Linked DNA regions of Mus musculus. The protein of the gene in region 2 interacts with the protein of the main gene of each other region in a pairwise test. Links are inferred from orthologs where the notes say so. Each region holds a gene or a part of one and is shown on either strand. Other genes may lie near its edges.

Region 1 (4,402 bases), on a different chromosome or scaffold from region 2:
CTGCCTCTGCCTCCCGAGTGCTGGGATTAAAGGTGTGTGCCACCACGCCCGGCTATGTTTCAAAAACTTGTCTGTAATGTGTTAAACATATAGAATTGTTGTACCTTAAAACAAGCTATTTCTTAAGATATCAAATTTAAAACCAAACTTGCATTATTCTGTGTTACACTACCGCTAAACTAGATCTCTAAACTATGTGTTTAGTAATACAGTCTAAACTCACACTTAGAAAATAAAGTAGTAATCAAGACCCATGACATTTACAATATAAAACCAACCAGACATCAACTGTGTAGACTTTCCTACGTTTGCACTATGCGCTCCCGCTCGCTCTCTCTCTCTATATATATATATATGCTATCATAAAGCAGAAAGTGATTTCTCTCTCTCTCTCTCTCTCTATATATATATATATATGTATATATATATATATATATATGCTATCATAAAGCAGAAAGTGATTACTGACCAGATGCATTTATGTTTTTTCAACTTTAAAAATACAAAAACTTTTAATAAGACTAATGTCTGAAACATTTGTAAACCTTAAAATCATCCCCATTTCAATTTGCTATATAGCTAAATGGCTGGCTATTTTCAGACTATCCAGAAATGTAATCAGAAACATTTTTTTCAAGAAACTGAAAGGTTTCCAAATATAACACGGGATCAATCTGACTCTTATTACAGATTACAGAGGAACATCTATTTGCTCACAAGTACTTACAAATTCCAAAAGGACTGCACAAGAAGGTGTTGATTTCTTCTCTATAAGCTTTATGTTTTCCAGTTTGTTTTTTTATTTTGTATCCTCTGAAATATCCAAGTTCTTTGAAGATACTTAACCTATGACTATTTGACATAGAGTTACTTGAAGTCAGCTACCCATATTTACTTTGAAGTTTTCATATGGTCAGATCCAGAGTTAGCCAGGTTCCTTGGATTTAAGAGCAAGGTCTTCTTTACTGTTCCATGTATTTGTCACTGTTGTACTTATCCACTCCAGAAGAAATAGCCAATTTATGTGCCAAAAAGCAGAAACAAAAAGAAAAATTTCACATCTGAAGATTACTTCTAAACATCAGCGTGTATAGACAAATAGCTATCTCAATACTACCATGCTGGTGTGAAAATGGAACATCTTACATTCCCAAGTAAATAAAAGATAAAAAGAAAAAAACGCTGTATTCTTTCAATGTCTTCATTTAGAAAAGCTGTCCCATTGTAATATGAAAAAAGCTGAAGTCAAAAATTACTAAAACTTTTAATAAAGGTAAAAAGAACTGCCACAAAACTTCAGCAATATTTAAACAGTAATTTGAAACTGCTGAAACTACTTGGTACACAAATCAAACATATCTTACAGTTTTGGCTGAAGAACACAAACAGGAGAGGGGAAAGAGACAAAAATAACACCAGATGAAATGCTTTAACCACTTATATAATCCGTTTGACCCAAAATACTGAAGAAATGGCTGGGACTTTTAGTAGCTCGTTGAATTTGTTCACTACTATCAATTCACTTCAGAGATGATTCTTGTCAATTTTAATGAACTTCTGGAGCAAAATTGCCCAAAACAAAAACAAAACTGTAATTCCAAAATGGCCACTTGAAATATCCGGGGCCTTTTAAACAAAACCTAGATGATGATCTTCATACGCCAAATTCAACCACCTGTAAAAGTTGTATTAGGAAAAAACAAAAACAAAAAACTTAAGTCAGTTTTTATTTTCAAATCAAAATTAACCCCCATTTGGAAAAAAATTTAACCTCTGGGGAAAAAATTTTTCCCACACAGCCGTAAAAAGAGAGCTGGGGAAAAAGTCTTTTCCTAGCCCTCGATGAAGTCTACTGAATGAAGGGAGTTAGAAAACTGTGGGCGACGATATCACTGAAGAGTTCCGATTTGAACTGGGAACTGGGTGCAGGTAGTACCCTGGAGGTTGCAAGCGCCCAACTTAAAAACTTTGAGCAAATATTCAAACTACGAAAGTGGCCCACGGTCTCAGCAGTGCTCTTCCCCGATTCTCTCCCATGTGCCAAAGGAAAACAAATGGACAGGTGGTGCTGCCACGGAGCGTCGGGGAACCCGACTCCGAGAGTGAGAGGCGGAAAGGAGCGTGACGCTCCTTCCAAAACGCAATCTCGGAGGACGGAGCAGCTGGATTGTCCCCACTACGGCTTAGTAGGAAGGCCGGCGGGCAGGCCGGCGGGCGGGAGGGGAGCGTGGCAAGGCGAGCGTGGCAGGGCGAGTGGCTACGGTTCGCCCGGGGGCTGACTCCCAAGCCCGGGAGAGCAGCGCTCGGCTCCAGGTGCTCGGCCCCATTCCCTTGAAATTAAGCAAACAGGTTTCGGCCAAAACTCCAGGGGTGGGAGGTGCGGGACGCGACCCGTCCACCCCGTTAAGGACCGTGCTCTCCCCGGGAAAATAAACAGGTCCCGTCGGACTCGGGAGCCGACGCGACTTCGGAGCGCTCGCCTTGGGCGAGCAGCCACCACCACCACCGCAACTGCCACGGAGCCCGGCGCGGCGGGGAGGGCGAAGCGCCGCCGAGCACACGGCGGAAGTCCACGGCTCCGCACGCCGCGACTCCAGTCCCCGGTCCCCCGGTTCCCCGGTTCCCGGGGCCGCCTTGCTGGTGGTGGCCCAGGAAGGCGCGCGTGCCGGGGCCTGGGGTCTTAGCCCGACGCCGCGGGCGCCCCGGCCGTTCCCGGCCTTCGCCGCCGAGCACCACCCCCCCCCACCACGGCCGCCGAGGCCCGCCGCCCACCTCGCCCCACGGCCGCCGCCGCCGCCTCCGCTCCGCCGGGCTGAGTCAACGCCGGCCGGGGGGAGGGAGGGAGGGAGGGAGGACGGGCGGGCGCCCCGCGCCTCACGCCTCACGCCGCCCCCCGGCCGCCCGCACCCTCACGCCTCGCGCCACCAACGCCGCTCCCGACCCCTCAAGCCCCAACGCCGACACGGGCAACCCCTCCCCCGGTCCCCGAGACTCCCGTCCGGGGCCCAGGGGACTGTGTTACCTTCTGCCCCACCAGAGGTGCCCCTGGCCTGGGGGTGCCGCTGCGCTCGATCCCGGGAGGAGGTTTTCGGTACTTTGAATAATCCCCTTTTGCCGCTTTTCCCTCCCCCACAACCAGTCTCAGTCCCAAAATGGCGCCGACCCGATCCGCAATGTTCTGGGCCAAGTCTCGCGAGATCGTGGAAGGTGGCGAGGGAGGGGGGACGCAGCGGAGAGGTTGAGAAGTAAGAGGAGGGAGGCGGGGCGAGGGGAAAAGAGGAGGAAGAAAGGGTGCGGAAGCCGCGGTGCAAACGAACCCACTGGGCGGAGCCGGAGGAGGAGGGCCTCCACCACAGAACCTTCTGGCCCAAGTAGCAGCTCACGCCCCAGGTCAGGGAAGCTCCGCCCTCTACGTCGGCGCCTGGGGGAGAGGAAGGGGCGGGGCTAGACCGGGGGCGGGGCTTTGAGGAGGACCCGGAGGCTGGGCCTGGCGCGGGGGAAGGGCGGGGGCGGGGCGGGGGGCGGGGCGGGGAGGCGGAGTCTCGGCGCGGTGACGTCAGGAGCAGCTGGAGCCGGGGATTACCCCCTGCTGCTGACGTGAGGACGGTGAACAATCCGGAACGTTCGGTGGAAGGGGGAATTCCCGTCCGTTCCCTGAGGAGCGCCTCTGTGCAGCCGCGGGCCCTCCCCGAGCTCGGGAACGGTGGGGTGGAGAGGACGAGCGCAGGCGGTCCGGACGGGCAGGCGGGCTCGCAGGGCGTGCGGCGCTTCTGAGTCTGCCCGGCAGCGCCGCGCAACCCGGAACGGCCGGCGGCGGGCGCCGTTCGTTCGGCTCCGCCTGAAGCCCGCCGTGGCTCGCAGGCCGCTCGGCGCGGGCCCTGAGCGCTCCGTGGGCGGAGCCGGCCCTGCCTGAGTGATTGGGCGCCGCAGTCGCGCGCCACGCGGAGCGTGCGGGACGTTAACACGCGGAAGCCGGGTTAGGGAGGCGCGCGAGGCTCGGCTGCAGCCACCGTTCCCCCGGAGTGCGAAGGGCTGCCAGAGAGCATCGCGCTAGTAATTCCTATTTCTAATAACTCCAAAGGAGATGGATTATTTCATCAGCGTTGTCCTGGGTATCCGCATAGCACAAACGATTATTTAAAAAAAAAAAGTTACGGTATTCACTTTCTCTACATATAGCCAAAGGTTCACTCTGGAAAGGTTGGAGATTTAATTCTAAAAGGAAAAAAGTAGAAGAAATGAGGGAGAAGCGTCCTAAAGAGGGAAAATCACCGGAGCGTCATTTCCCAGAAACTTTTTATATGCATTATAGGGTTTGTAGTTTAGTGCGTTACCCCTATAAGTTCGCCGAATGTAAACTCGCCTTAATTTGTACCTCAATCTTTACCCATCTTGCCCCCTA
Region 2 (4,427 bases):
CTGGGATGCTAGCACTAAAGCTATGACTGCCCTCAGTGGTGTCCAAACAGGCCCAAAGTATCATCTTCCTCAGAGAGCTCAACCTAGGAGGCAGGGAAAGAAATCTGGTTCTGGCTGTCCGGATGAGGGGTACATAAGGTGCTGAGGCTGAGGGGCTGAGTTCCCTTGAAGCAGCCAGGTACCGGTGGCCAGCTCTCTCTTGTTCTAGAGTCCAGCCGGGGGCTCTCCTGGAAGAGACAGAAGGCAAAGGGGTTCTGGGACTTGTGGGGTGTAGGGCCATCAGGAAAACACATAGCTGCTACTTTCTTAAGGCCTAAGTAGGGTTGTGTCTTTAATTTGGTGTGTGTATACTCCTCTTTATTAGTGGATAAATATTAGAAAATCATCTCTCAGAAGGTGTGGTCAGGGGCAGGCTGGGCTTACCCAGCCTGGGGGCAGGCCCCTCAGGGGGTCCTGGCGTGGTCTGCAAGGTGAGGCTGTCCCGCCAGGGCTCATAGACCAGGGTGTAGCTTTCTGCCCTCTTGATAGTGAACTTGTAGGTACGGTTGGGCAACAGGTTGTGGACATCAAAGGTGCAGGCAGCCACAGGGACTATGCCACACTGTGTACACTCCTGTTGTGTCCTGGGCTCCAACAGCTTGAAGCGCAGTTCATACTGCTCTGGTGCTGCCGGCTGGATGGTTACAAACCAGCGCAGGCTGACCCAGTCCTGATGCGCCACTGACTCCTTCCGGTCGAACATAACTGGCATCTTCGTGCTCAGCATAAGCCGGATGTGTGGGATTTTGGTGGCTCCAATGTCAGATACCAGGCGGTGCTTGACATGCAGGTGTCCTGGTACCATCATGGCCAGGAAGTTGTCCATGACAACTGATAGGTCTGCCAACTGCTGTTCCACAAGCCCCCAGCCTGCCAGGAAGGGCCGTGGGTCAGGGGCCTCAAGTAGGGCATCCAGTGCTGCCCGGCCATGGTCCAGCTGCTCCAGCAGGTCCCCAAGCAGGAGGAGCTGGATCTTGGTCTGTGCTGTGCCCACCTTCTTCATGCGCTGGAACTTCCAGGGATCAATGAGCTGGAACATGGTGTTAGGTAGCACCAGCGGGTTCTGGTCACCCAGGGCCAGGTGCTTAGGGAGAATCTCAATGTAGTAGGAGCACTTCTTGAGCAGCTGCATGCGGGCATGGTGGCGCTTGAGCAACTGGGGGCTCAGGTCTGTGGTCAGGAACTCACGCAGCACGTTGCGGCGCTCCATGTATGTCCTCCAAGCCTCTGGCTCCAGCAGCTGCTGGTCCTCTGCCTCCTCCACCTCCTCTGCGTCCAGGAAGGAATGTGGACTGTCCAGCTTCATTTTGTCCAGGGCCAGGCCTGTCACCTGGAAGTTCATTGTCTGGGAGCTGAGGGTAAGAACTAGGCATCAGCTGTGACCGTCAGATTGGCTCTGCCCCTCATCAGCCTCTGCCCCATAATGGCTTTTGCTCTCCCCTGGGACACAGCTTTCTGATCAGAGACCCCTGGAGGGGACAGAATAGTGGGCTGGGTACTGGGCAAAAGCAGATGATAAACGGGAAACTTCTATCAAGGGGCCAATAGTATTTTGTGGCGATGAGCTAATGGGGCTTATCAGACAGAGTGGGCTACAGGGACCAGAGTAGCCTGGGGAGAAGCTCTGGGATGTTGATTAGTTTTGAGACAGATCATAAGTCTCAGGTTCCTCACCTAACACAGGTCTGTGCCCAAGCTTAGGGTGATTCCCCATGCTTCCCAGTACTCTCCAGAGACCAGGTACACTGCAGGGGTGCAATGCTCAGGGACCAGGCTAACCAAAGACAAGACTCTACATCATCCTCACATAAAGGGGGGGGGGGGGACCTTGTGTGGCTAAGAACAGGGTAGATCCTCTCCCACCATCTCACAGATGGGGGTTGGGGGGAGTCTAACGCTAAAGCTTGTTAGGTTGGTCTTCCTTCATGGTCACTTTTGATTTTGACAGAACATCTCAGTCTGTTGTTCAGGCTGCCCTCCAACTCCTGTGCTCAAGCAGTCTTGGGACTCCAGGGGTGTATGCTCCTGTACCCAGTTTATCCCAAAGCTGGAACTGTTGACTCCAGAGTCAGCCCTCCTCTCCTTGTCCCCATACCTTTCCCCCAAATCTGGTTGTCTGTGGAGAGGCTGGTGTGCCACAAAGCCCAGTAGCCAGAGATCCCTGGAGAAGGTACCAACCTCCTGCTAGCTGTCCCTGGCACTGGGCCAGTGGCTTCACTTGGAAATCTCAGTTTGTGGAAACTGGGCTTGGATGAGCAAGAAACAGAGCTAAGAGACTGGATGACTACCTCAAAACCACACAGCTGGATAGTAAGATTGATCATGTCCCAAAGACTAATTCAAAGTGATTTGTGTGAATGGTGGTGCGTGCCGGGGGTGGGGGGTGGGGGGGGTTAGAACAGGCATCTGAGACAGCAGAGAATGGTTCCTGGCTGAATGCTAGCTGAGATCAGGGCCCCAAGACCCTGAGTCAACAGTTCATGGCCGCTAGAAAGCTCAATGGAAGTCTCCATAACTACTTCCCCATCTAAGCTATTCTATCACCCCTCCCCCTCCGTGGAGACTACCCACCCCGAGCTTCTGGGCACACCTCCTAAACTCCTCTACCTACCACTCCTCTTCCGGATCACCTCCGTGAGCCCCAGCCCCGCTCTGCAAGTGCCTGGCCGCCCGCTTCCTGTGCGGAGCCCAGCCAGAGCTGCAGGGTGCACTGCCAGATCCGCTCCCCCTGCCAAAGGCCTACTTGTTGCCATGGGAACCACTGGCCCTTGTGACGCTGTGCACATCCGGCCCAGGTGTAAGGAGCTCTTGATTTGAAGGCTAAATTTTGATATACGGCAGCAGCGATTTATGTCCAGGGCCTCACGGACTCGAAACAAACTCAACTTCAGCCCGCGCCACGGGCTAGTGGAATTGTTCCTCGGCATCGTGTTTCGCAGCAGTCCAGGAGCCTGCGGTGGCTGGGTCAGCAGCTTGGCTTGCAATGGGATTCTATGCAACGCAGGAAACTGGTGTCTTTGAGTGGGACAGAGCTGGCTGCTGGGACTCAAGAAGCCAGCAGATGCCAGTGGAGTGCAGGGAAGGGCCACCTGTTTGACATTCCAAGCCAAGCAGCCGCCTATGGGTCTCAAAGACGATGAGAAAGGAAGTGATATAGCAGCAGATGGCTAGGATCTCCTTAGCAAGCAGTCAGCAAGGTGAAGGGGTCTGGTTTTCCCAGGCCTCCAGAAACTCATGCCCTGTCCCCTCCAGTCTGAATAAACGGAGTCCATAGCTCTAGGAATCCTCAAAGGAATCCCCAAGTTGCAGTCTCATACTCCAAACTGGGCTTTGGACCCCTAGATTTAACACCCAGGTCCTTCCTCTTTATGAGCTAGCTTGGGGTTACTCCTAGCAAGGGTCTCAGGGTCTCAGCCACCTGAAAGCTGCTGACTCTTTTCCACTCGGTCAGTCCTTCTAGATTGGGTTTGTCTGGACTGAGTTACCTGGTTGTAACTCAAGTTTGCTACCAACTTGAATTATAGCTAGAGCTCCCAGCCCTCCTGATGGCATCTGACGGTGCTGGGGAATAGTTTTCCTATCTGTCAACCTATATTGGCTACAGACCTCAGAGGCCCCAGAGGGGGAGGGGGAGGAGGGAGAAGCGATGGGTGCTGGCTCTGTGCTCATCTAGGCTAGTTAGTCATGGTGGCCAGTTTGAGGGAGAAAGGGATGCCATCTGAAGGTCCAGGAGGGAAACTGGCCCCTGGGGAGTAGAAGAGAATAAAAAGCAGCAGGAAGAATACCAGCGCCCAGCTCTTCCTCAGGAAGGAGATGGGTGAGGCTCACTACCCTGTTCTTAGGGGTTGGGCTTGCTCTGGGTCTGTGAAAGCTGCTCTGCTCCACTTGATCGGTCTTTTTTTTTTTTTTTCCCAGTCCTAGTTTTAAAATTTTTAATTTTTTAGATTGATTTTTATGTATATGAGCATTTTACCTGCATGCCTGGTTCCCACAGAAGGCTGGTACCCACAGAGGTAGGAAGAGGACATTGGATCCCCTGGAACTGGAGTTAGGGATGGTTTTTATTTTTCTTTCTCTTTCTTTCTTTCTTTCTTTCTTCCTTCCTTTCTTTCTTTCTTTCTTTCTTTCTTTCTTTCTTTCTTTCTTTCTTTCAAGATTGATACATTTATTTTATGTGAGTACATGGTTGCTCTCTTCAGACACACAGGAAAGGGCATTACATTTCATTACAGATGGTTGTGAGCCACCATGGTTGCTGGGAATTGAACTCATGACCTCTGGAAGAGCAGTCAGTGCTCTTAACCGCTAAGCCATCTCTCCAGCCCTATTTCTTTCTTTTTAATTCTTTATTTTATGCTCAGTAATGTTTTGCTTGTATGTAAATCTGT

What was found. The genes of interacting proteins can lie anywhere in the genome.
Region 1: the proteins of Fndc11 (region 2) and Gpbp1 interact in binary tests that used the Homo sapiens proteins (3 or more experiments, as listed by UniProt). The link is inferred for Mus musculus from reciprocal best matches to the Homo sapiens genes FNDC11 and GPBP1.

The regions. Positions count from the first base shown.
Region 1 is NC_000079.6:111,486,696-111,491,097, forward strand, and holds the start of Gpbp1 (vasculin), read right to left. Parts: upstream 3,433-4,402; 5' UTR 3,023-3,432; intron 2,905-3,022; exon of another isoform or gene 2,773-2,904; intron 1,676-2,772; 5' UTR 728-1,675; intron 1-727. UniProt on the Homo sapiens protein: Functions as a GC-rich promoter-specific transactivating transcription factor.
Region 2 is NC_000068.7:181,218,358-181,222,784, reverse strand, and holds Fndc11 (fibronectin type III domain-containing protein 11), read right to left. Parts: upstream 2,752-4,427; 5' UTR 2,651-2,751; intron 1,392-2,650; 5' UTR 1,382-1,391; coding exon 383-1,381; 3' UTR 336-382; downstream 1-335.